Rhinolophus ferrumequinum: one gene and its partners. The main gene of each other region encodes a partner of the protein of the gene in region 2 in a complex. Links are inferred from orthologs where the notes say so. Each region holds a gene or a part of one and is shown on either strand. Other genes may lie near its edges.

What was found.
Region 1: KANSL3 (region 2) and KANSL2 share a complex: the UniProt entries of both Homo sapiens proteins name them as parts of the NSL complex. The link is inferred for Rhinolophus ferrumequinum from reciprocal best matches to the Homo sapiens genes KANSL3 and KANSL2.
Region 3: KANSL3 (region 2) and PHF20 share a complex: the UniProt entries of both Homo sapiens proteins name them as parts of the NSL complex. The link is inferred for Rhinolophus ferrumequinum from reciprocal best matches to the Homo sapiens genes KANSL3 and PHF20.

What each region holds. Positions count from the first base shown.
Region 1 is NC_046293.1:49,833,312-49,840,374, reverse strand, and holds the start of KANSL2 (KAT8 regulatory NSL complex subunit 2), read left to right. Parts: upstream 1-3,995; 5' UTR 3,996-4,077; intron 4,078-4,544; exon of another isoform or gene 4,545-4,631; 5' UTR 4,632-4,639; coding exon 4,640-4,890; intron 4,891-5,676; coding exon 5,677-5,855; intron 5,856-6,342; coding exon 6,343-6,457; intron 6,458-6,554; exon of another isoform or gene 6,555-6,681; coding exon of another isoform or gene 6,682-6,894; exon of another isoform or gene 6,895-6,936; intron 6,937-7,063. Other genes in the region: 40S ribosomal protein S29-like, read left to right, coding at 6,682-6,894. UniProt on the Homo sapiens protein: Non-catalytic component of the NSL histone acetyltransferase complex, a multiprotein complex that mediates histone H4 acetylation at 'Lys-5'- and 'Lys-8' (H4K5ac and H4K8ac) at transcription start sites and promotes transcription initiation.
Region 2 is NW_022680356.1:2,127,145-2,134,776, reverse strand, and holds the start of KANSL3 (KAT8 regulatory NSL complex subunit 3), read left to right. Parts: upstream 1-4,544; 5' UTR 4,545-4,625; intron 4,626-4,696; exon of another isoform or gene 4,697-5,006; intron 5,007-5,596; 5' UTR 5,597-5,646; coding exon 5,647-5,861; intron 5,862-7,632. UniProt on the Homo sapiens protein: Non-catalytic component of the NSL histone acetyltransferase complex, a multiprotein complex that mediates histone H4 acetylation at 'Lys-5'- and 'Lys-8' (H4K5ac and H4K8ac) at transcription start sites and promotes transcription initiation.
Region 3 is NC_046306.1:19,771,622-19,778,862, reverse strand, and holds the start of PHF20 (PHD finger protein 20), read left to right. Parts: upstream 1-4,220; 5' UTR 4,221-4,346; intron 4,347-7,241. UniProt on the Homo sapiens protein: Methyllysine-binding protein, component of the MOF histone acetyltransferase protein complex.

The DNA of each region.
Region 1 (7,063 bases), on a different chromosome or scaffold from region 2:
TTTTATTGATATGATTATAGTTTTGTTTTAGTTTTGATAGGAGTATGTATTTTCTTACTGCACAAGATCCTGGGGGAATTGAGACCATTGGAAAGACCTAAGATTTGGTCATCACATTGCACCTGATAATATAAAGCATGATGTAGTTGGGGGCCGGGGAGGAACCCTCATTGAACATTGTTGCATAGATATGTGGAAGAGTAACTGGTACACAAAAAATACATAGCTGAACAGATGATAGCAAAATGTACTGCTTATCTAGCAAGCACTGTTAACATGATTCATGACTGTATAGTTGGTTTCTTTGAAAAATCCAAAATGTTGGTATAGACTAGGAGTGCATTGGGAAGGAAAAAATGAATAGCATTCTTGTTGGTGCCTGGAAAAATAGTGAATACTTACCCTTTTCCTGGGACATAATAAAATTATGCACACAGCCAATCTTGTAAATTACACATTTAAAGGGAAAGAATTTTTATGCTCAAATACTCCATCAAATATATGGTGACGGAAGATTCGACTTTGGGTGGTGAACACACAGTGCAATACACAGAAGATGTATTATTTAATTGTACACTTGAAACTTAAATAACATCATCAGTAGGTTCTTGGAAACTGACTTTAAGTGAAGTGACAGATAAGGAGACTAATTTTACCGTAGGCTAATTGAAGAGGTAAGTTCCTGTGGCATATTTCTGATTAAAAAAAAAATCAAACTTATAATAAGGACCCCAAACACTTCTAATATTAAACATTGAAATACTTGTGACCTATTATGCATACATTTAAGAAAGATTAATTTTAAAAAGTAAGATAATTTTCCAACCTTTTGCTTTTCCAACCCACCCTGGACAGAATGCCCCTCTCTATTGTAGGATGCATCTCATACACCCACACTCAACTCAGACTGGGACAATTTAGACAAGCCAATTCACCTCCCTGCACATCTTTAGGATGTGGAAGGAAGCTGTAGTCCAGGAGGAAACCCACGCAAACCTGGAGAGAACATGCAAACTACACAGTGGCCACAGCCGGGAAGCGATTCTTTTTTCTCAACGTTATAGCAAAATGATGCTGAACAAAAGGAAATCGATAGAGAACATGCTGCACTAGATACACCTTTTCTAAAATAGTTTCAGGCACTGCCCTGCTTTTCATTTATTCCTGCACCAGAAAATAGTACCAAATACTATGTACTGATTACTGATGGGAATATGGCATAAACAAGCATCCTGCCCTCGTCGAACTTACATTTAGTTGCAGCGGAGACAAAACAGTATGTTAGATAATAAATACTTTGGAGAATGTAAAGCAGGGAAAGAGGGATAGGGAGTTTGTATGTGTGTGCAGGTAAGTAGGATTGTTGAAATTGGAAATAAGACAGCAAAAGAGGAAGGTCTCATGAAATTACAGTTCAGCAAAGACCTGAAAAAGGTGAGAGAGCAAGCCATGGGAATAGTTGGGGTAAGATCATTCCAGGAAACAAGTGCAAAGGTTCTGAGGTAAGAACGTAGGAAAAAGGCCAGTGTAGCTAGTGAGGAGGGAGAGTAGTAGGATATGTGGTTAGCGGGGCAATAAAAGTCTAGATACACTAAGGTCTTGTAAACCATTATAAAGACAGTGAAATGGAGCACCACTGAAAACTTTTGAGCAGAAAAGTGACATAATCTAGCCTACGTTTTAAAATGTTTATTTGGGCTTCTGTGTTGAAAATGGATTGTAGGGGTCAAGGGTAAGGAGACTCACAATAATAAAGGTGAGAGATAAGAGTGGCTTGGAACAGGTTGGAGGTGCTGAAGGTAATGAAAAGTTACCTACCGTGTTTCCCCGAAAATAAGACCTAGCCGGACAATCAGCTCTAATGCGTCTTTTGGAGCAAAAATTAAGACCCAGTCTCATTTTACTATAAGACTCGGTTTTATATAATAGTAATTTTTGCTCCAAAAGACGCATTAGAGCTGATTGTCCGGCTAGGTCTTATTTTCGGGGAAACACAGTATATTGAAGTTGGAGCCAGTAGGAGCTGCTATAAGGTTGGAAGAAAAAAGTGAAGGATGACTCCCAGTATTTGGCCTGACTAACTGGAAGGATGGAGTTATATTGAGATGAGGAGGACTGCAGAAGGAGCAGGAGTTTGGCATTCATTATTCTCAATCTCTCACCTTTCTCTAGGATTAGCCCCCAAAACTCAAAATTTTAAAAAATTCCCTTTCCTTCAAGAATTCACTTTTCCCAACCTCTATTTGCAAACACCCTCGGGTCCACTTTAAACTGTCCATAGCTAGCAAAGTGTTCGTTCAGTGGATTAAAAACAGACATCTACTTTGTTAAACAGCACAAAGAATTTGCCAATATCTTGACCCTTTAGTAATATCTGCCTCTTCCCCAGTTTAGAAGGAAGGGGTTCTAAATAGCAATTTTTTGTCTCCTTTGGGCTTAGCAGGAGGATCGTGGTTTCAATTAAGATCTTCAGTAGACTCTCTAATTAAACAAGTCTTGGAAAGTCTTTGTTACATCCCTATCTAGTCCTTAATGCCTCTTTACATTATTTCCTATAGTAGTTTTAATATTCCTTTTTGATATTACCATAATTGGTTGCAGATTCTGATTCCCAGATTTTCTGTAATGTGACTGCCTCATAAAACAGTTTTGAGTTATGGGGTATTTATAACAAATGCCTTCTTTGTATAAGGAGACCAATTTTACCCTAGGCTAATTGGGTAAATTATTAAATCCTTAAAAATCCTTAAAGGACAAAATTGGGATTGTGCCTGCCATTTGCTTATGTATGTAAGTCATAGTTGCTATTAGGTTTGTATTGCATCCATAATCCCAAACTGCTCTAGAATGTTTACTCTAAAAGAGCAGGTTATCTTTCTTGTTCTCTCTGTATCCCCAGTGTCTGGCACTTAATGTATGTGCTCAATAAATATTTGTTGAATGAATAGATTTTCGGAGAGGGCCTTCTAGGGCTACCCTAATTTCTGGGAACAGCATCTCACCTGTCTCCCCCTCCTCCAGTTTTTGTTTTAATCATTCCTTGTGCCTAAACTGAGGGCTGTTCTTGAGTGTGTGTGGATTCTCTATGCTCACCTCCACTGTGAATCATGCTCACCTCATTGATAATGGAGAAATCTCTTACGTAAATGAAACTGACAGCAGATAAGGGTTCTTGGGCAGGTTGGGACGCAAAAAAGATCCAGAGGGTTATGGGGAGAAAGTGTTGGTTCATTTCTACAAGAGAACTGGTGGAAATGAAAAAAAGAGATACTTTAAACTTAAAAAAAAATCCTTAAAGGAAAGAATTGGGATTGTGTGCCATTTTTATATACCTGCATTATTTAGCATGGAATTGTAGAGAATTTTAGAGAATCATAGCCTAAACCACAACTCGTATTTCCTTATTTCCAGTCCAATCCTCTTTTTACTATATGAGAGACAAAAAGGGATACAAAATGAGGGCTGGGTTCAAGTTTGCCTGTCTCCCCATATACTAGATATGGGCCCATTCTGTTCCTCAGTTATCTTAACGTGGTTATAGAGATAATAGCCTCCACCTGTTAGGGTTGCTCTGAAAATTAAATGTTTATATATGTAATTTCCCAGATTTAAACACTCAGAAAATGTTTCAGTAAATGAATTGCTCACAAAAGAAAACTAAGGGCTTTTCCTGTATAAACAGTAAGAGTCAGATGTGTGATTTTTTTTTTTTTTACCGGTTGTATAGGGGTGCTGAAGTAGCAGCAGCCAAAGACCACAGAGTACCCCAAAAGAGGCCTGAAAACCAGACGCGCTGACGCTGAGTTGGAAATACGGCAGCAGCCGCGAGGGAATCCCGCCGCCCGCGCTGGCTCCGCCTCACTCTCCCCTAGTTGCTGACAGACATGTCGTCTCGCCTACCCCAGCCTCACATTTCTCATAATCCCGCCCTCCCCAACCTGATAGGTAGCAGGCTTCGGCCAATGGTGGCACACCGCCGTAGGCGCGGTAGCCAATCAGCGGTTGGGAGCCCGGAAAGGAGCGGGGCCGAGTTAGAAGCGGGTGACGCGGCCAGAGTGGTGCGGAGTGGCCGCGAAGGTAAGATGGCGGCGGTGCTTGCTCTTCATTTTTGCAGTTAGGCTGCTGTTTCGTCCCTTTTGCCCCTTCCGAGCTGCTCCTCTGCTTCGATTAGCATCGGGGTTGCTTTCCTCCTATAGGCTCCCAAGACCCAGATTCTCCGGTGCCCGGAGTCTTAGGACAAAATGGCGCTTGTACGGGCAGCCGAGGACAGGCAGGGCTCAGCCCTAAGCTTTGAGGCGGGCCGGGACAAAGGCCGTGTACTGGGAGGCGGAGGCGGGGCCCTGCGGCGCTGCTGCCTCCGCGTGGGGCGGGCGCTGGTGCTTCCCGCTAGAGCTGCGGGCTGTGCGAGTCCCTGAGATACTTTTAACGTGGTGGTTGTCGGGGTGGGTGCGGGCGTGGAGGGAGAAGTGGAGGGGAGGAAAATTCACTAATGCCTGGGGAGACCTGGCTGAGGGTAGTTACGGAGCATTACTTCTGTTTTTTAGAAACTACCCGCGGGCTGCCCGCATATTGTGGAGGATGAATTTTTGGAAAGGGTAAGGGCTTTTTTGGTCTTGTGTGTGATCCTGCAGGTTTTGGTATGAACAGGATTCGGATCCACGTCTTGCCGACCAATCGGGGGAGGATTACCCCAGTGCCCAGGTCTCAGGAGCCCCTCTCTTGTTCATTTACTCATCGCCCATGCTCGCAACCTCGTCTGGACGGGCAGGAATTTTGCATTAAACATATTCTTGAAGATAAGAATGCACCCTTCAAGCAGTGTAGTTATATATCGACGAAGAATGGGAAAAGATGTCCCAGTGCTGCCCCAAAGCCGGAGAAGAAAGATGGGTAAATATATGTAGATAATTTTGTTGTTTGTACTTTTAAAGTGAGAGCTGGATGGAGTATGATGTGGGTATGGGCACAGCTACCGAGTTTTTAGCTCACGTGCTTGTTAAATTGGGTTTATGACTATATCGTTGGCAAATAAAAAGGTGGAGACCGGAAGGAGACCACTTACAGTTGGGCCACTCAGTTCATCTCGTTGGATCTTTTCACTTATCTGTAAAATAAAGGGTTATTCTTAATCCTGGGATCCATGACTCTTTTGGCTGGGCCTGAACCTTGTTAAATAATACGCAAAATTGTATTTATGTGTATTTTTCTGGGAAAGGCTTCGTAGCTTTCATTATGTAAGCAAAAATATCCATGCAGAAGCATAATTTTGATAGATAATTCTGCATACACCTTTTGGTTTTAAAATTGTGTTCCACATCTTATTAACTAGTGTATTAATACTGAAGTAAAATGTAGAATTGCCTTCCAAAATCAGTTTTGAAAGACAAAAGTGGATCAGATTTCTTGTGAAATGATGTCAGCATTTTTATAGTGGGAATGTTTTGTTTGATGGATAGTGTACTAGATTATGCCACCTGCATTTCTCTTTAGTAATACTAAATGAGCTGACCATGGGCCAGTGAAATTACTCTGCCTCACTGGCCTTTTTAATGTATAAATGAAGATAATGATTATTTTAATTTCCTAAAAATGATCTAAAGATCTGCAACTATGGAAAGCACTGAATTCTTTCAAGAAGGAACCTGAGTATACAGTGTTAATATTTTGTCTCCTTAGGGTGTCCTTCTGTGCTGAACACGCCCGTAGGAATGCCCTGGCACTTCATGCTCAAATGAAGAAGACTGGTCCAGGCCCTGTGGGTGAAACACTCTTGTGCCAGCTGAGCTCATATGCTAAGACAGAGCTGGGGTCTCAGACTCCAGAAAGTAGTCGCAGTGAAGCCAGCCGAATTCTGGGTAAGGATCTTCTCCCCTAGAATGAAAAAGGAGGGAGAAAGTTAACAGAATTTATTTTGGTTGAGCACAGTGCCTTGAACATATATGGCACTTGATAATACAATATCATCGTTAATTCATTCCAGGATTGCTATGTTGTTCACGAATTCTTTTCAGTTTTAAGTAGTGTGTGCTTAGATTTACTTTCCTGAGTTTATGACTGTTTTCTTCATTGCTGTTTATATATTTTTCATCTTTGCTAGGTAAGGTAATTTCAGGAACCAAAAATAATTTTGAGTTGGACTTTCTGACCTTTTGAAGGCATGGTTGATTCATTTATGTTAAAAGTAATCTTACCTGGGTTGTATTTTTTTAAGCCATTTTTATTTGCCAGTATCTTTATACTACGTTATTTTAATTTGGTTTGATATGTTAAGTAATATAGTTTTGTGTGGTGGAGTTACAGAAATGGGAAGTCTTAATGGCTACTCTCCCTTCCTTGCCTTAGATGAAGACAGCTGGAGTGATGGGGAGCAGGAACCCATTACTGTGGATCAGACATGGAGAGGTGACCCTGACAGTGAAGCTGATAGCATAGACAGTGATCAAGAAGATCCCCTAAAGTAAGTTGTAACTCCACATAAGCTTTTAAATATTTTATGTAGTTACTATATGGAATGTATTGCATACTGTTGGTAGATTAATAACCTAGGAGGGTTGAAGATAGCTATTTGTGAGCAAAAATAGCTGTAAACTAAAGTGCCGTGGTTCATCACTCTTGCTTCAAAGCAGGATTTGATTCTCTTTTAGAAGTCTTTAATTTCAGAAAATTTTTGGACGTTAAATTATGCACTTGACCTTTTTACCTCGTTGCGCCCGAGGGAGCAAGATGGGTCACCAGCAGCTCTACTGGAGCCATCCAAGAAAATTCGGCCAGGGTTCTCGTTCTTGCCACGTCTGCTCAAACCGGCACGGGCTGATCCGGAAATACGGCCTCAATATGTGTCGCCAATGTTTCCGTCAGTACGCGAAGGATATAGGCTTCATTAAGTTGGACTAAGTGAACTTCCATGAGTGAATCATGCAAGCTAACTACCTTATAGCAGAAACAGTGTCAGCTCTTTGTACATAAAATAAAAAGGCTTTGATTATGGGGGGGAAAAATAACTTATGCACTTGAGAAAGTATAGGGGAGAAAATAGGAAATTTCTTGGACGTAGGAGTGGAGG
Region 2 (7,632 bases):
CCCTATGTCCCTGGCACCTTTCGATCTTCTGCCCCAGTGCTGGAGCTCAAAATGAGTGGGTCTGACAGCAAGTCAGTCTATGCACGGGCCCTTTAAGAGAAATGCCTGGGACTCCAGCTGCCCTCCGCTCCACTTGGCCACCATCCCCACTGGATTTCACAGCCAGAGGTTGTAGGTACTCCTCTCCCCGGCACTGGAACCCTAGGCTGGGGAGTTTGGTGTGGTGCTAGGACCCCTCACTCCTCCGGGATGGGGGCCCTCTGCAGCCGAGCTATCCCTCCCAATTTTAAATGGTCACATACGGGTGTGGGACCAGCCAATTCCGCATCTCTGCTCCTTCTACTAGTCTCAAGGTGGCTTCTTCTGTATGTCCTTGGTTGCGGGGCTTCGGTTCAGCTAGACTTCAGGCGATTCTTAATAATGGTTGTTCTGCAGTTTAGTTGTAATTTTGATATGGTTGTGAGAGGAGGTAAGCACAGTGTTTACCTACTCTGCCATCTTGACCAGATCTCCCAGAAACTAGCTTTTTAATTAATGAGCTCCTATGTTGGCTAGTGCCATTGGAATTTTGCTGTGGCATCCTAACTGCACTCAAGGACTCTGGGCATGAGGACGGAGCTGAGTTATTGACTCTTGGCATCCACATGAAGGCTTTTTCTGCTTTAGGGTTGAACATCGTATAAGTTACATCTTATCCAATGATTAACGTGAAAATTAATGAATGTTTAAAAAAATGTATATTAGTTGATGAAACCGTTTGAGTGTTTGCAGATCTGTACATGTCTTTATTCTGCCCTTGCACTTGACTGACAACCTGGTTGGATGTGTCAATCAGGATGGGCTCTGTTATGCTGAGGTAACAAACAAATCAAAAATCTCAGTGGCTTGAAACAGTAAACATTTTCTCCCCTTTTCTCTGCCTCCCCCCCTCCAGTTCAAGCCCTTGTTTCTCAGTCTAGTTGTGTAAGACACAGCTCCCTGGCCATGCTGGTATTATGAGTCTTGCGCTCCACCCCCTCTCCCCCTCCCCGGTTGTTTGTCTGTGGACCCGGCCACTCACAGCAGCCGGCCACTCACGCTGGCCAGCACACCATAGCCCACGGCAGCACTCAGCAGCCTGCGGCAGCTCACACCAACCTCTGGCTGCTCACGGCAGCCCAGCTCCAGGGAGAACTGTGTTCACAATCTTAGCTGTAGAGAGCACAGCTCACTGGCCCATGTGGGAATCAAACTCATGACGTTGGTGTTAGGAGCACAGCACTCCAACTACCTGAGCCACCAGGCCGCCCCCGCTTTTTTTTTTTTTAATAACAGCTTTGCTGAGATATAATTTACATGTCATAACTGTATAATTCAGGTTTTTAATATAGTCACCAGGTTATACAATTATTATCACCACTATCTAATTCCAGAACATTTCCTCACTGTGAAAAGAAACTCCCTACCTGTTAATATTCACTTCTCTTTTCCCCCTTCTCATAGGCCCTGAAAACCATGAATCCAGTTTTTGTCTGCATAGATTTGCTGATTCTAGACATTTCTTATAAATGGAATCACACAATAGGTGGCCTTTCGTAACTGCCTTCCCCTCCCCTTTCTCCTCCTTCTCATCCTCCTCCTCCTCATCTCCTCTTCCTCCTCCTCCTCCTTGAGTTTATTTGAGTTTATTTGAACCAAAGAGTTTATTTGAACCAAACTGATAACAATTGCTGGGGAGCAAAATCTCAAATGCTCCTATGATGGCTTCTTTTACTGAGCATGTTTTCGAGGTTCATCCATGTTGTGACAAGTATCAGCATTTCATTCCTTTTTACGGCTTAATAAATCCATTATATGAATATACCATATTTTGTTTATCCATTCATCAGTTGATGGAAATTTAGGTTGACACTATTCGGTATTATGAATGATGCTGCTTTGAACATTTGTATACTTGTTTTTATGTAAACATACGTTTTCAGTTCTCTTGCATATGTATGTAGAATGGCTGGGTCGTATGGTAATTCTGTGCTTAACTTTTTGAGGAACTAGCAGACTATTTTCCACAGTGGCTGCCCCATTTTATAATCCAGCCAGCAACAGATGAGTATTTTTATTTCTCCACATGATTTCCAACACTTTTTATCATGTTTTTTGTTGTCACCATTGATTTTTTAGCCATTCTAGAGGTTGTGAGGTGGTAAAGATGTATTTTTCATCTTCAACTGTGTCTCTTGTTCTGGTGTCAACCAACCAATCAATCATCAATCAGTCAACACAGAAACCATTCCTTAAGTCCTGGGATATGTTCTCTGAAGGATACAAACTAGGTCAATGTTCCTGACTTTGAGGATTTATGCTTTTTTTTTACAAAACACAGAGGAAAATTAACACTAAGCAGTCTAAAGCCAGTACCAAAAATCTTACTGGGGTCTCTAGGTCCCTGCAGGCTCTGGTCTATGTCTGTCTCTCCACTCCCTGACAATTGCTTCCTAGAAAACATTGTCCACGTTTTTTTGTTTTGTTTTGTTTTAACGTTATCAAGCTGCTTTCTGCCTCAGAGCCTTTGTCTTTGCTGTTGCTTCTCCCAGAGAGCTTCTCTCCCAGCTTCTACCCATGTTACCTCATTCCCCTGTTGGTTCAATGTCACTTTCACAGGGACACCTTCCCCATCACCCAAACCAAGACTGGGTCACTGTTCTCATCACCTTGCACTTTTTCTTATTGTGGTAGGCATGGTGGGAAGCAGAGTTGCGAGAGGTTAATGCCTAGGTTCTGGAGCCCCACTGCCTGGGTCCCAGTTCTGCCTTTGGTACTGACTGTGTAACCTTGGGCAAGGTACTTTATCTCTCTGGACGTGACTATAATAGAACCTCGCTGACAAACTCATTGAGAGGGTTAAATGAGCTAAGTCATTTACGTCACTTAGAATTTCTTTGGCATTCTCTAAATACTAGCCCTTGTTATCACAATTATGAATTAAACAATCATTTACGTAGATTAAAAAGAAATATGCCTTGTCAATGCTGTATCCTCAGCACGTAACACATTACTTATCACAGACTGGAATTTAAGAAGTATTTGTGAGTGAATGAAGGCCAAATGTATCCTACAGGATATCAGAGGAAGGAGGAATGCTATAGGAAGAGAGGGCCATCTCTAATCCACTGATAGTGAATACTTGGATTCCTGGGCAGAGAAAATGATTTTAAAGCTGCATCTGCGTTCACAGAGAGTGGACTGTTATTAACTAATCATGTCTGCTATGGGCACAGAAAAAGAAACAAAAACACCCACAGGACAAGCACTACGGTGTTGACAGCCCTGCTATAGAGAGGCTCTCTGTCATGTTGGAAACAGTCCAGAATTGTGAAGTGACAATTTGCCTCCTTTCCTCCACTGCCTGCCCCCAACCTCCACCTTTCCTCTGGACACTCAGGACTCCCTGTGGCATTGTACAGGCTGTCTGGAGCACTGTGACTCTTCCCACTATATCCACTGCCATTACAAGTCAGCAGTTTCACTCCTGCCATGGTAGGGCAACCAAAATGAACCAATCCCCTAATCACCCTAAACTGACTGGACTTGACCTCTGATTGTGTTTTCCTTCCCAGGGATATCTGCATTTAAATCTAGCCTGGGGGTGGTGTGTGAGTGTGTGTGTGTGTGTGTGTGTGTGTGTGTGGTTGAGTTTTGAATCAAATGCCCCAGAGCCCACTGCTGAGTGAAGCTGATGCAGACCCCTTGCCTACCCCACTGGAAGGTGGGTCCAGTGATGCCACAGCCACCAATTTTTCAAGAGAATCCAGAAATCTGGATGTTTACGTGAAATCTCCCAAGTATAAAGTTTGCAATGGAATAAAATTTTAAGAAAGTAATGTGAAGGAAAAAGAAAATGGTTTGGGGGCTGTATTTGGCCTATTGCTATCTCTGCAGGGGCCCTCACCAACCTTTCCAGTCCTCCTGCAATGGCCTGGTCCTTCAGAAACCAGCCTCTGGTGACTTCCCCTTCACAACACCACCCCAACCCCTTGTAGGAAATCTTTCTTCTTCTAGAACACTCTGGGGTTCCTCGTGGTAACTACCATCTTGAAATCTATTTGTGTTCTTGTCAGGTACCATGTATTATCCCATTTCAGCAAAACTTGGGAAAGTTCTGGATGTTTTATTTATTTTTAACAGACTTTAGTTTTTCTAGAGCAGGTTTAGGCTCACAGAAACTTTTTACTTTTACTTTTATTTATATGGTGCTTGTTTCTTAAGAGTAAATTCTTCAGGAGCCTATTTGGGGGGGCCTGGTCTGGGAGATGGAGGGCGAAGGAACAGCAGGGTGTGGGCAGCAGGCCCGGGCTGCAGAAGCCACTCTCCTCCATGGCCCTCGCTTTCCCGCTGAAAATGCAGGAGGTGGGACCCCGGCCTCGGCGCAGACTTTTTGCCTCCCATGCCCTTGCTTTCCCGACTCTCCCCTTCCCGCCTTAGTGGCGCAGCAGTATCTATTCCGGGTTTTCCCGCTCCCCGCCCCTCCCTTCCCAGGCTATGATCCGCTTCCGCGTTTTGCTGGGCACCCGGTCGCTAGGCGTGGGGGCGGTGACGCGCACGCGCGCAGAGAGTCGGCCCGGGCCGAACGCGCGGCCCGCGGATTGCGGGTGAGGGAGGGTCGACCTGGCGGGTGGCGGGCCCTAGGGGTCGCGGCCCCGGGCGGAGCGGGCGGGGGACTCGTCGAGGGCCTCGGGGTTCCCGGGCATGCGAGGATCAGGGGCTGGAACCAAGGCCGGGGCGGCCAGGCGTGTTGGGCCGGGGGCCGCGGGCGCCGAACCGGGCCAGGCCCGGCGGGTGCGAGGCCGCGCTTCGTCACGAACTCTGGGTGACCTTGGCCAAATCACTTAATTCTCCTGAGCCGGTGCCTTCGTCTGCGAAATGCGAACGATAAACCCCGCCTATTGGATGGGGCCGTTTGGAGATTCAGCGGCGAGACCCCCAGGAGAGGCCCGAGTCCCGGGCGGTTTGCGGGGCACCGCCCACCCCGGGTGAGGGCGAGGCCCTCCTGGGATGGCATTTTGTTACCGGCTTCCGGGAGGAGCCCTCGTGTGTGTTTTTTAAAACGCCAGAGTATTATGAAGTCGTTGCAAAACTTTTAACCAAAACGAGAGACTTGTGGAGCTTCCTTCCACGAGGCCCACGTTGCCCACCTGGTACTGCGACGCCCGGGAGGCTTGAGGGAGTGCTGAGAAGCATTAGCGACCCTTAGCTTGGGAAGAACTAATACCTGGCGTTCCTGTTGTTTGCCAAGACCCTTCTGGCCCACACAGGAAACGGAGGCGCTGGCCGAGCTAGTTTAGTATCTGCCCACGGGAGGCCTTTGGGACCCGTGGAGTCACTCGGCTTTCCAGGGAACGCGTTTTGTAGCGATTGAATATGGAGGAACGCTTGGTGCCCTAGCCTTTTTGGGGAGGTGGTGTGGGATCTCAGGAGCCCTCCCCATGGTGGATGAGGGTCTGCGGTGTGATAAATACTCAATTATGAATGATAGAGGGGTCACAAAAGTAAGAAGCATAAGAGATGCTCCAGGTTGGAAGACATTGAGACTATTTGAATTGACTGAACTTTTCCACTTCAGGCAACTAGCACACAGACACCGGGTCTCTGACTTGCTACCTCTCTACTGACATGGCCCACCGGGGTGCGGAGAGAGACTTCCAGACGTCAGCACGGCGCATGGGCACCTCACTGCTCTTCCAGCTTTCAGTGCATGAGCGAGAGCTGGACCTGGTTTTTCTGGATCATAGCTATGCCAAGCCATGGAGTGCCCACCCAGATGCCAGTAGTGCTCGGCCCACCCGCACGCTCTTTGTTACTCCCCGGAGGCAGCACGAAAGTACCATGTGAGTTTGGGCTCCTCTCCTAAGGGCTGCCATTGCCCTAACTAGGCAGTGATCAGATGGTGGGGATTCGAGAGGATTTTACTGTGGGAGACTGTGTGAGGGGCTTGGATGTTTAATTCAGGCATCTCTGGTAAGCAGCGGGAGGATATCAAGCCTATATGTGGACATCAACATTCAAGACATCTAACGATTTAGGAAAGCAAGATGTTCAAAGGAAAGCAAACAACCTGTTCCACTTAGGTAATAGGACTTGTTTGGAAAGAGGAAATTGAAGAGGATTATTTAACTGGTGAAGAAAAAGACTGAAGAGTTGACTTTTAAAAACTGCCATCCAGGATTAGACTCATTTCTTAGTCCAGTGTTCTGGCTTGCTCCAACTCTGGCAACAGTAACCTTTTTCTGGTAATGTGGTTTCTTTTCCTGGTTTCACCTACACAGTTTAGGAGCATATTCCCAAGACCTTGCTTTCTGCCTTAGCTTGTTACAGAACTGTCACTCAAGGGTGAGCTTACCTCTTAGGTCTCATTGTATTTTCAGCCGGCCTACATTATAGGGTAAGGAATTTTTTTCATAAATTTGGTATGTAAAAGGTGATACGATTACATTTGGCCTAAATAAACTTGTTTAGCAATTCTTTTGAGCTTTAAGGTGTTCTGATTACTTGTATTTCAAGATTTGTTGATATAGTCTATTTCGATGATCAAATCACGCCCTTCATTATTTTATAAACTGTTTTGGGGAAGAGGTTTTTTTTGTTTGTTTGTTGTAATCTGACCTAATGTTTAATCTTTCCTTTAGCACAGGTTTTAGGTTTGTTGGGGAATATCTAGTTTGTATTTTGCTTCTTTAGGTCCCCTACTCAGCTGTAATGAGCTTGGGATGCCATGATGTGTGTTTTAAACACGTGCAGAATAGTGGTTTTTATTTCATTTCCCAATGAGGGCAGCATTTAGTTGGCTGTTAGGTTGTGCAGGGCACGGGATCTGTGATTTTTAGGAAATAATCTAATCCTTCCGCCTGTGGCCCAGGGCATAACTGGTGAGCTCCTTTAAACAGAATCAGAAATCTTTTTCTCTTAGTTATGTAATACTTCTTGTTACATGAAACTCCTGTGTTTAAAGTGAGATTTTTGTGGACTTGGTTATTTCAGTACTTAGAAAATTATTTATAAACCGTCTCCGTAAATAGGCCTTGAAAGTGGAAGTTTGGCATGTTCCAGGAACTCTTTTTAGGTTGTTGTGTCTGGAATATGGTTGCAGCTGGGGTGTAAGTGGGAGCTGGGGGAGAGGTTGGCAAGGCTACCTCATGTAGGAATTTGATTCGAGGAGTGGTAAGAAGTCATTGAAGGGTTTTAGGCTGGAGATTGGATTTATATTTTTTAAAGATCACTGAACTTTTGTTGAAGAGATTATAGTGCAGGAGTGAAACAGAGAAGACCTGCTAGGAGGCCATTGCAGTAATGATGGCCAGAAACCACGATGGCTTGGATAGGGGTGGCAATAGCACAGACGGAGAAAAATGGGTGGCCTTGAGGTACATTTCATAGGTAGAATCATCAACTGGACCTGCTGTGGTGAATTGCAAAGAGGGGCCAGCATTATGGGGCAAGGGGAAATTAGGGTGACTCTTAGGTTTCTGGCTTGAGCAGCTAGATGGTGCCATGACTTGGGGAAGACTTGGGGAGGACAGGTCGGAATGGTGAAATCGAGAGAGCTCTTTTAGGCACACAGGTCCGTGTACCTCGCCCACTATCTGGTCCAGAGAAGATAAT
Region 3 (7,241 bases), on a different chromosome or scaffold from region 2:
AATCTTGCAAAATGCGGGAAATATATTAGAACTCCTACTTAATTCTCCTCCCCCTCATTTGAAGAGTACTAAGGCTTGGAGTTCAGGAACTTTCCATGAGGCCCAGACTGCAAGACCTCAGGCCAGGGCCAAGACTCAACCCGCTTCCCGTGGGCCCCTAGTGCCTTGTGGAGGTTCTTGGACCTCTCAGACGCTGTTGTGACTGTGGTTTCCGGTTTTTTGAATTCTCACACTCAATTTGGCGCTGCAGATATCATACTCTAGTTCCTGCTTTGCAAACGGACATGCTGAAGCTTGATGATACTCTGAGTCCATAGGGTCTGTGGGGGCTTGCTTTTCTGTTTTAGTTTTCCTCTTTTCCCTTGAGTATTGTAAATGCCTTGGGGTTACATAAGGACAGAGTATAAAGGTTTGCCGGGTAGAAGCTGAAAAGATCACTTTTCTAATTGAATATCCGATCTCCTGTTAGATCTTTAGTTCTGCTTCTCTTTAGCTGGGGACATTTTGAATATTCTAGATGACAAGTCTAGTAAGAAAGCAATCAGAAAATCATTTCCCCGGAACTTTGCAGTTTACAATACATTTTCTCACATGTTATTTAATTTAAATGTGACAATGCTGGGGGTGATTGGTTAGCTCAGATGGTTAGAGCCTGGTGCTGATAACACCAAGGTTGCTGGTTCAGTCCCTGCATGGGCCACTGTGAGCTGCACCCTCCTTTAAAAAAAAAAAAAAAGTGACAATGCTGTGAAGGTAGATACCCAATTTAGAGTTGAAGAAAAGTGATGCTTAGAGAGGGAAAGCACTCTTCCATGCAGGTATTGAATGCTTCTTGTGCTACTGTATACCTTGTGTGTATGCAGGGAGCAATCTTTTTATGGGCTGGGATCACAGTTCTGAAATTGTTGGATACTTAGCAAGAGAGATTCTACTCTCTGGAGTTGAGGCTGCTACACATTCATTCTTTCAGTCATTCACTCAATCACAACTGTTAGTTGAATTCCTATTCTGTACAAAGAAAGGCTCTACCAAAGAAAGAATTGGGATGTTGAGACCAACTGCTATTGAGATTCTGGGGAGGCTCTTAAGGCAGAAAGTTGGAGGCTGCTAAGGAGGCAGTGGTAAGACCTGGGCTTTAGACCAGAACTTTGCAAACTGGAGATCTGTGGTTAGCAGTCAGTGAATGCCCAGTTTAGAAGAAGCTAGCAAGCCAGGTTTCTGCAGGTTTTTTAATCAGAAAGAGCTTAACTTCCAACGTACTTTATTTATATCTGTATCAAGTTAGTTTTGCCTAACAAGCATCAATTCTCCCCTTTTCCCGTTTGGAGGGATATCCTTTGGGGAAGATTGTTCCTCTCTTCTTTAGCAGCGTGGTCTAATCCATGTGATCAGAGATTGACCAATCAAAAACAGCTCTTGGACAAGACTTTGCCTCTTGAGTGAGTGACTCAAAGACAAGGGGATGTTAGGATTGAATCCCAGTTGTGGTGTGTGGTGCTGCTGGCCACATCAGGTGTTGCTTCTTTTTGGAGGTGTTATTGCACCTGATTGCTTTCCAAGCCTGGCCTCTTGTTGATGCTCTGGACCCCCAATATCCTTATATTTCTCTTTTGGTTGTTCTTGCAACAGACAAAAAATTTTTAACTTACAAATTGTGACGCTTTCTTTACCAGGCTGTGAGCTCTCTGAGAACAGGACCTAAATGTCATTCTGCTCTCTGTTTTGGTGCCCACCTCAACCTTGGGTCTAAATACATGCAGGTCGAATAAACGAAGAAACATTGTTATATTTTTATGGGACTATGGAGTCTGGGATTCTTGGCATTATTGTGGTTGTGGGGCAAAAAATTCTGTATATGCTACAATAGCCACTAACATCTGAGCAACTTCACGTTAACAAATGTAAACTGAGAGGATTCTGCAAAGGTCCTTTCTTCCTGTATTTGAGCACTTAGCTGAGTTCATGTAGGTGGTTCTGGTCCTCAAATTCCTGAAGGTATTTTGTGGGTTTTTTTGTTCGTTTGTTTGTTTGAATACTGAACACTTCACTAATTTGAATGTTATCCTGGGGGCTAACACTAATCTTCTCTAATTTGTGTATATGTGCTGCTGAAGTGAGCACAGCTGAAGCTTTTGTCCCTGGTTTCCCCAAACCTCTTCCTAAGCACTGTCCTCTGTTTTTTGTTTTTTTTTTCCTTTTATTAGCATTTATTTGATGTTGAATTTACTCCCGGGCCATAAGTTTTTGTTTCTTCAGTTTCTTCTGGGAGATCTTCTGAGCAACCTCCACTTCTGGTTTAGGAACAATTTGTTCTTTTTCAGTTAGGATCATCTCAATGTGGCAGGGGGAAGTTCATGTGTGGGTTAATGCGCCCGTGAGCTCTGTAAGTTCTCGCTGCATCTTGGGAGCTTTGTTCACCTGGCTCTGCTCAATGATCAGAGAGTCTACATCTAAACCCTTAAGTTCAGTATTACTCTCTGCATTTTTAAGCATGTGCAGTAAAAATTCTGCACTCTTTTTGGGCCAACGACCCTGTGTCCAACCCCACTGTTTGGCTTGGGCACACCTCCCAACTCCACCATTGTAACAACGGAATGGCACACATTGCTTTTGTAACGTGACATCCTTTAAATACTTGGTAGCTTTTCAGATATTCATACCCTTGATGGCCTGGGCAGTTTCACGAGTGTTCTTAAAATGAACCCGTAGATTTGAACCTCTCGATTTACATGATTTTGTGGGGTTCTCTGGGTCAAGAGAATAGCGAACCATTTTCAGAGGTCACCTCAGGCTGCTTTCGGGAAGAGCTGTCCTCTGTTTTTACTTGAGCTGAGGTAATGCCCTCTTCAGTCTCCAGCCCTGATATGAAAAGCACCTCTTCTATGGACTCAGGTCATAAAGAAGGATCTACCAATTTTTTTTTCAATGTTATTCTCTTTCATTCCTTTCACAGATACACATGAAGCATCTATTATTCGTCAGGTTCTGACAATTTATTAGGTACAAGATAGTCCCTAACTAAAATTCAGGAAGTAGACAAATACAACCAAGAGAACAGACAAATGAAATAATAACAAACTGTGCTAGGTGCTCTGTTGAAATTGAAGTGATAGAGAATAATTGCTATGGGGGAGGCATGCATGTGATTGAGGGAAGCATTTCTAGATAATGTAATCAAAGAGGATCTCACTGAGGAGATGACAAACAGACCTGCATGATGAAGAGTCAGCTTTGCAAGATGGAACAGCCTATTCAATGACCCAGCAGCTGGAGAGAGCTTGGAAAGAGCCATAGCAACTGACAGAAAGTCAGTGTGGCTAGAGGATGAAAAAGAGTGGAGGATGCAGATGGAGAGATTGTTTTAAGCAGGACAATGACATGATTAGATTTACATTTAAAGAAGTGCAATCTGGCTGCTCTGTCGTCTTTCCAATGTAAAATAAAGTTATTGCCCTCATAAATTACAAATGGTTAGCATTTCTCTTTGGGACTTTCCAAGTCTCATTGGGAAAACATCTCAGAACCTTCTGGGGTGGCTGCAACTCCCATCTCCGTCTCTGGAGGCTAAATACAGCTCTTCACACCAGTAATTGGAATCCTTACCCAGCAGATAATGAGACAAAGTGGAAGAGGGATTAGTACAAAGGCCCGGAGGTGGGAAGGTACCTGGCTTCTTTGAGGATTTGAAAGAGGCTGAGAACTGGGGAAGCTGGTTGTATTAGCATGTGAGGAGAGGCAGGTTAGGTCCAGACTTTCCAGAGCCTGGTAGATAGGTTTAGATCCTAATCCGAAGAAAAGTGGGGGGAAAAGACTTTAAGCCTGTGACTATATTTGCTTTTTGAAAAGCTCCTACTGTCTGTGTGTGGAGAATGGATTGGAAGGGGGAAGAATAATAGGCTGGAGGGGACAACCGTCACCTAGGAGAGAGGTGATGGTGGCCTAGACCCGGGAGTTGGGAATGGGATGGAGAGAAGTGGGAGGTTTCGACAGGCATTTAGGAGGCAAAATTAACAGGCGATGGATAGTGTCCAGTCCCAGGTTTGCTTTGGTCTCACTGATTGCAGGTGAGTGAGGACTTCGAGCTCCGTCCGCATCAGGGCGCCGGTCGGGTTCCCGCGCGTCAGGGCAGTGGGCGTGGCCCGCCTGAGCCGTCGCCACGGTGACCGGGTTGGGCGGGGCCGAGGGCGGGGCAGCTGGGGAGCTGCGTCACTCGGTGGTGGCGATGGTGCGTGTATGTGGGGGGCGGGGGATACGCTGGGCGCGTCCCGAGGGTCACGTGGTGCGCAGCACGCAGAGTCCTTCTGTCGGTTGGTCCTGGAGCGGCGCAGCCGGAGCCGGGCTGTGAGGTGAGCTCGCGGTGAGGCGCGGCGAGGCTAAGCCGGGTGGCCGAAGCCGGGTCGGGGCGAACCCGCGCCAGGCGCGCGCCGTGCGGGCGGGGACGGTTACGGACACCACCGCTGCTCGGGTCCCCTGCCCGGCCCCGCTCCCTGCTTGGCCCGTCTCGCCCAGCGCGGAGGGAGGCCCGGGGACCGCTGCTGAGAGCGTGGCGGTCGTGCGAGCGGCGCCCAATCCCCAGGGTTGCCCGCTGGAGTGACGGCGGCCGCGGCCAATCAGCGCCGCCTGAGGGGGCTGGGCCGCGGGGTGCGGGCCCAGGGCGCGGAGCGGGCCGTGTTGGGGGTGGGGGGTAAGCGCTAGGGCCACAGCTTGAACTATGAGGCCCCCGAGAGCTCCACCACCAGCCCTTGCTGTTTTCATGTGCTTTGGGAACGCTTTTTTTTTTTTAATTGACTGTTTTATCCTATTCTGGGAAGCACACCCCTTTCTTAACCCCCGACTATGGGAGTGTCCCCTTTCTCTAGTTTTGGAAATGTGGGTGGTGCACCCCCTTTCTGAGGCTCCAGCTCAGTTTCCAAAGCCCTTCGAACAGGATGTATCCCTTTTCCCAGACCCCCCCCCCCAAACTGGGAGGACACTTCCTTTTTCAAGCCTTCAATCTGAGCAAGCACTCCCTTTCAAATTTGGAAGTTCGCCGCATTAACGACTCTCTCAAACCTGGAGTCCAGTAACCAAGTTTTGGGGTACTTCTGTTTCCACAAATCCAAGGAAAAATCCCTTTTCCAGGCCCCAAATATGGCAACATGCTTTCCAGAATTTCTTAAATTTAGGGGACACTTCGTTTCTCCAACCCTGCAAATCTGGGGTGCACCTCGTTTCCAGATGTTACTGAAAATAAAATCGAAATCCTGAAGTTTAAGGGTACATATTTGCAATTACACAAATAAGGGAATTCGCTGCACTTTCCAGTCACTTTTTGGATTTGCATCCTTTTTCATGAGTTCCCCAAATCGAACTACCGTATTTCCTGGGAGATACTTATTTTAATGTCTGAGAGTGTGTTTGTATCCCCAAATGTACAGAATGCACCCCTCTTGGTTACACCATTCTCAGGGAGCAGTAACTTTCCTGATGCTTCTTAAATCTGGGAGGGCACACCTTTTTTCTGAGTCCGATCATTACCAAACCTTGGTCCATGGTTCTTGAGCTTTTCTGCCCTCCAAGACATTTTCTTTCCTCAGTTTCCTTCCCTTTTTTCCTTCCCATTTCCATTTAGGTGCTTTTCCTATCTGGTCATTGCACCCATTTCCTCTTCTATTGATGAATGGGTATCTTGAGCACAACACTTTCCCTGCTTCTATGGCCTTTTTTTCTGAGCACAATTCCCAGTCACACCTCCCGAATTCCCTTCCCCTAAAGGGAGGGTCCCCCTCCTAAAAGAGTGTCTGTATGTTTTCCTTTTCTATGTCTACTTTACCTTTTTCTGATTTCTGCTAACCGGAACTCTCTTCTCTCTCGGCTTGCTCTATCCCCAGGCATTTTTTTGGTTTCTAACTCTCATTGGACACTGCTCTGCTTGCTGGAGGCTGTAGAGATTTTCCCCTTTCTTCCCCTGGCGCTGGAGGTGACCTCAGGTCCAGGACTACCTGATGCCCCAAGCACTGAATTCAAACTGGAAATGAATCCCCTCTCATTTCTTTGGTTATTCACAGGACTCTTAATCCTCCTGGTGATTTGCTTCCTTTACCATTCTGCCTTGATAGTACTGTTTTCTTCTTTGCTTTATTTCCCTCAAGAAATTCTTTTAGTCTTGGTTTCAGCTAATAAAACTTCCTCTCTCTATTGGCTTTTCTTCTTTCCTTTTATCAAGAAAAGAGGTCATTTGAAGGAACCTCTTAGTCTTTTTGTTCTTGTCCATGGGTTGCAGGTGGGGGATGGACTTAACTCTCCCTATCATCCTCACACATATCTGCCAAGCCTTGCTCCCAACCCTCACCTTAAAATCTACAAGTATCTGGGCCCTCTTCTCTCTTTAAGAGCCTCTCAGTAGGTTCTTTTGTATTTTCCTCTGCCTTTCCAGATCTTACTTAGGGCTTTTCTGCCTGAGCCCCTAACCAGATTAATTTCTCCACAGCTGAAACCCCAAGTGCTTATGGGATAATGACACCTCTGACCTTTCTCCTTTTTTAGGAAGTACTTGAGTGTGCAGCTGTAAGAGGCCTCAGTGGAGGAGAGAGTTTGGGCCTGCGAAGCTATACTGGCAGGACAAGGCAGGAAAATACAGCATTTTTAGGATTACATCCTTCTGAATGTCATTTGGAGGTTGGACGTTTGCCAAGCACCTGCTTCATAGGGATGCTAGGGGATATAATGAGACTCCCAGGAACCTATAGGAAATAATGGGGCTTGTGGAGAAGTGTTCTGAACTGAGTGTTGGAACTTGAATAAAATTAACCATTATTGTATTTTCAGAATAACTAAGCTGTTTTATATTTCATGTTCAAGAAAGCCCTGGAGCTAGGTTGTGCTATTTCAGGAAGTGAAATAGATTCCACATTTAGATTATTTGGTCATTATTAGTAAGTACCAAATTCATGAAAAAACACTGGAGGTCTGTCTGAGCAGTACGTAAACTGTGATATACAGCAAGTGAACAGGTACTTTGTCTGCCTGTTTGGTGCTTATCTGTGTACTGCTCTGTACAGTGCAGTGTTCAACTACGCCACTGCTTCTCAAACTTGAATGTGTGTATAAATCACTTGGGCAGGGGCGGGTCTTGCTAAAATACTGATTGTGATCCAGTAGGTTTAGGGCGGGGCCTGAGTATCTGCGTTTATAATTCCCAGGTGATGCTAATGTTATTGAAATACACTGAGTAGTGAGATGCTATATATACATAATAGCCA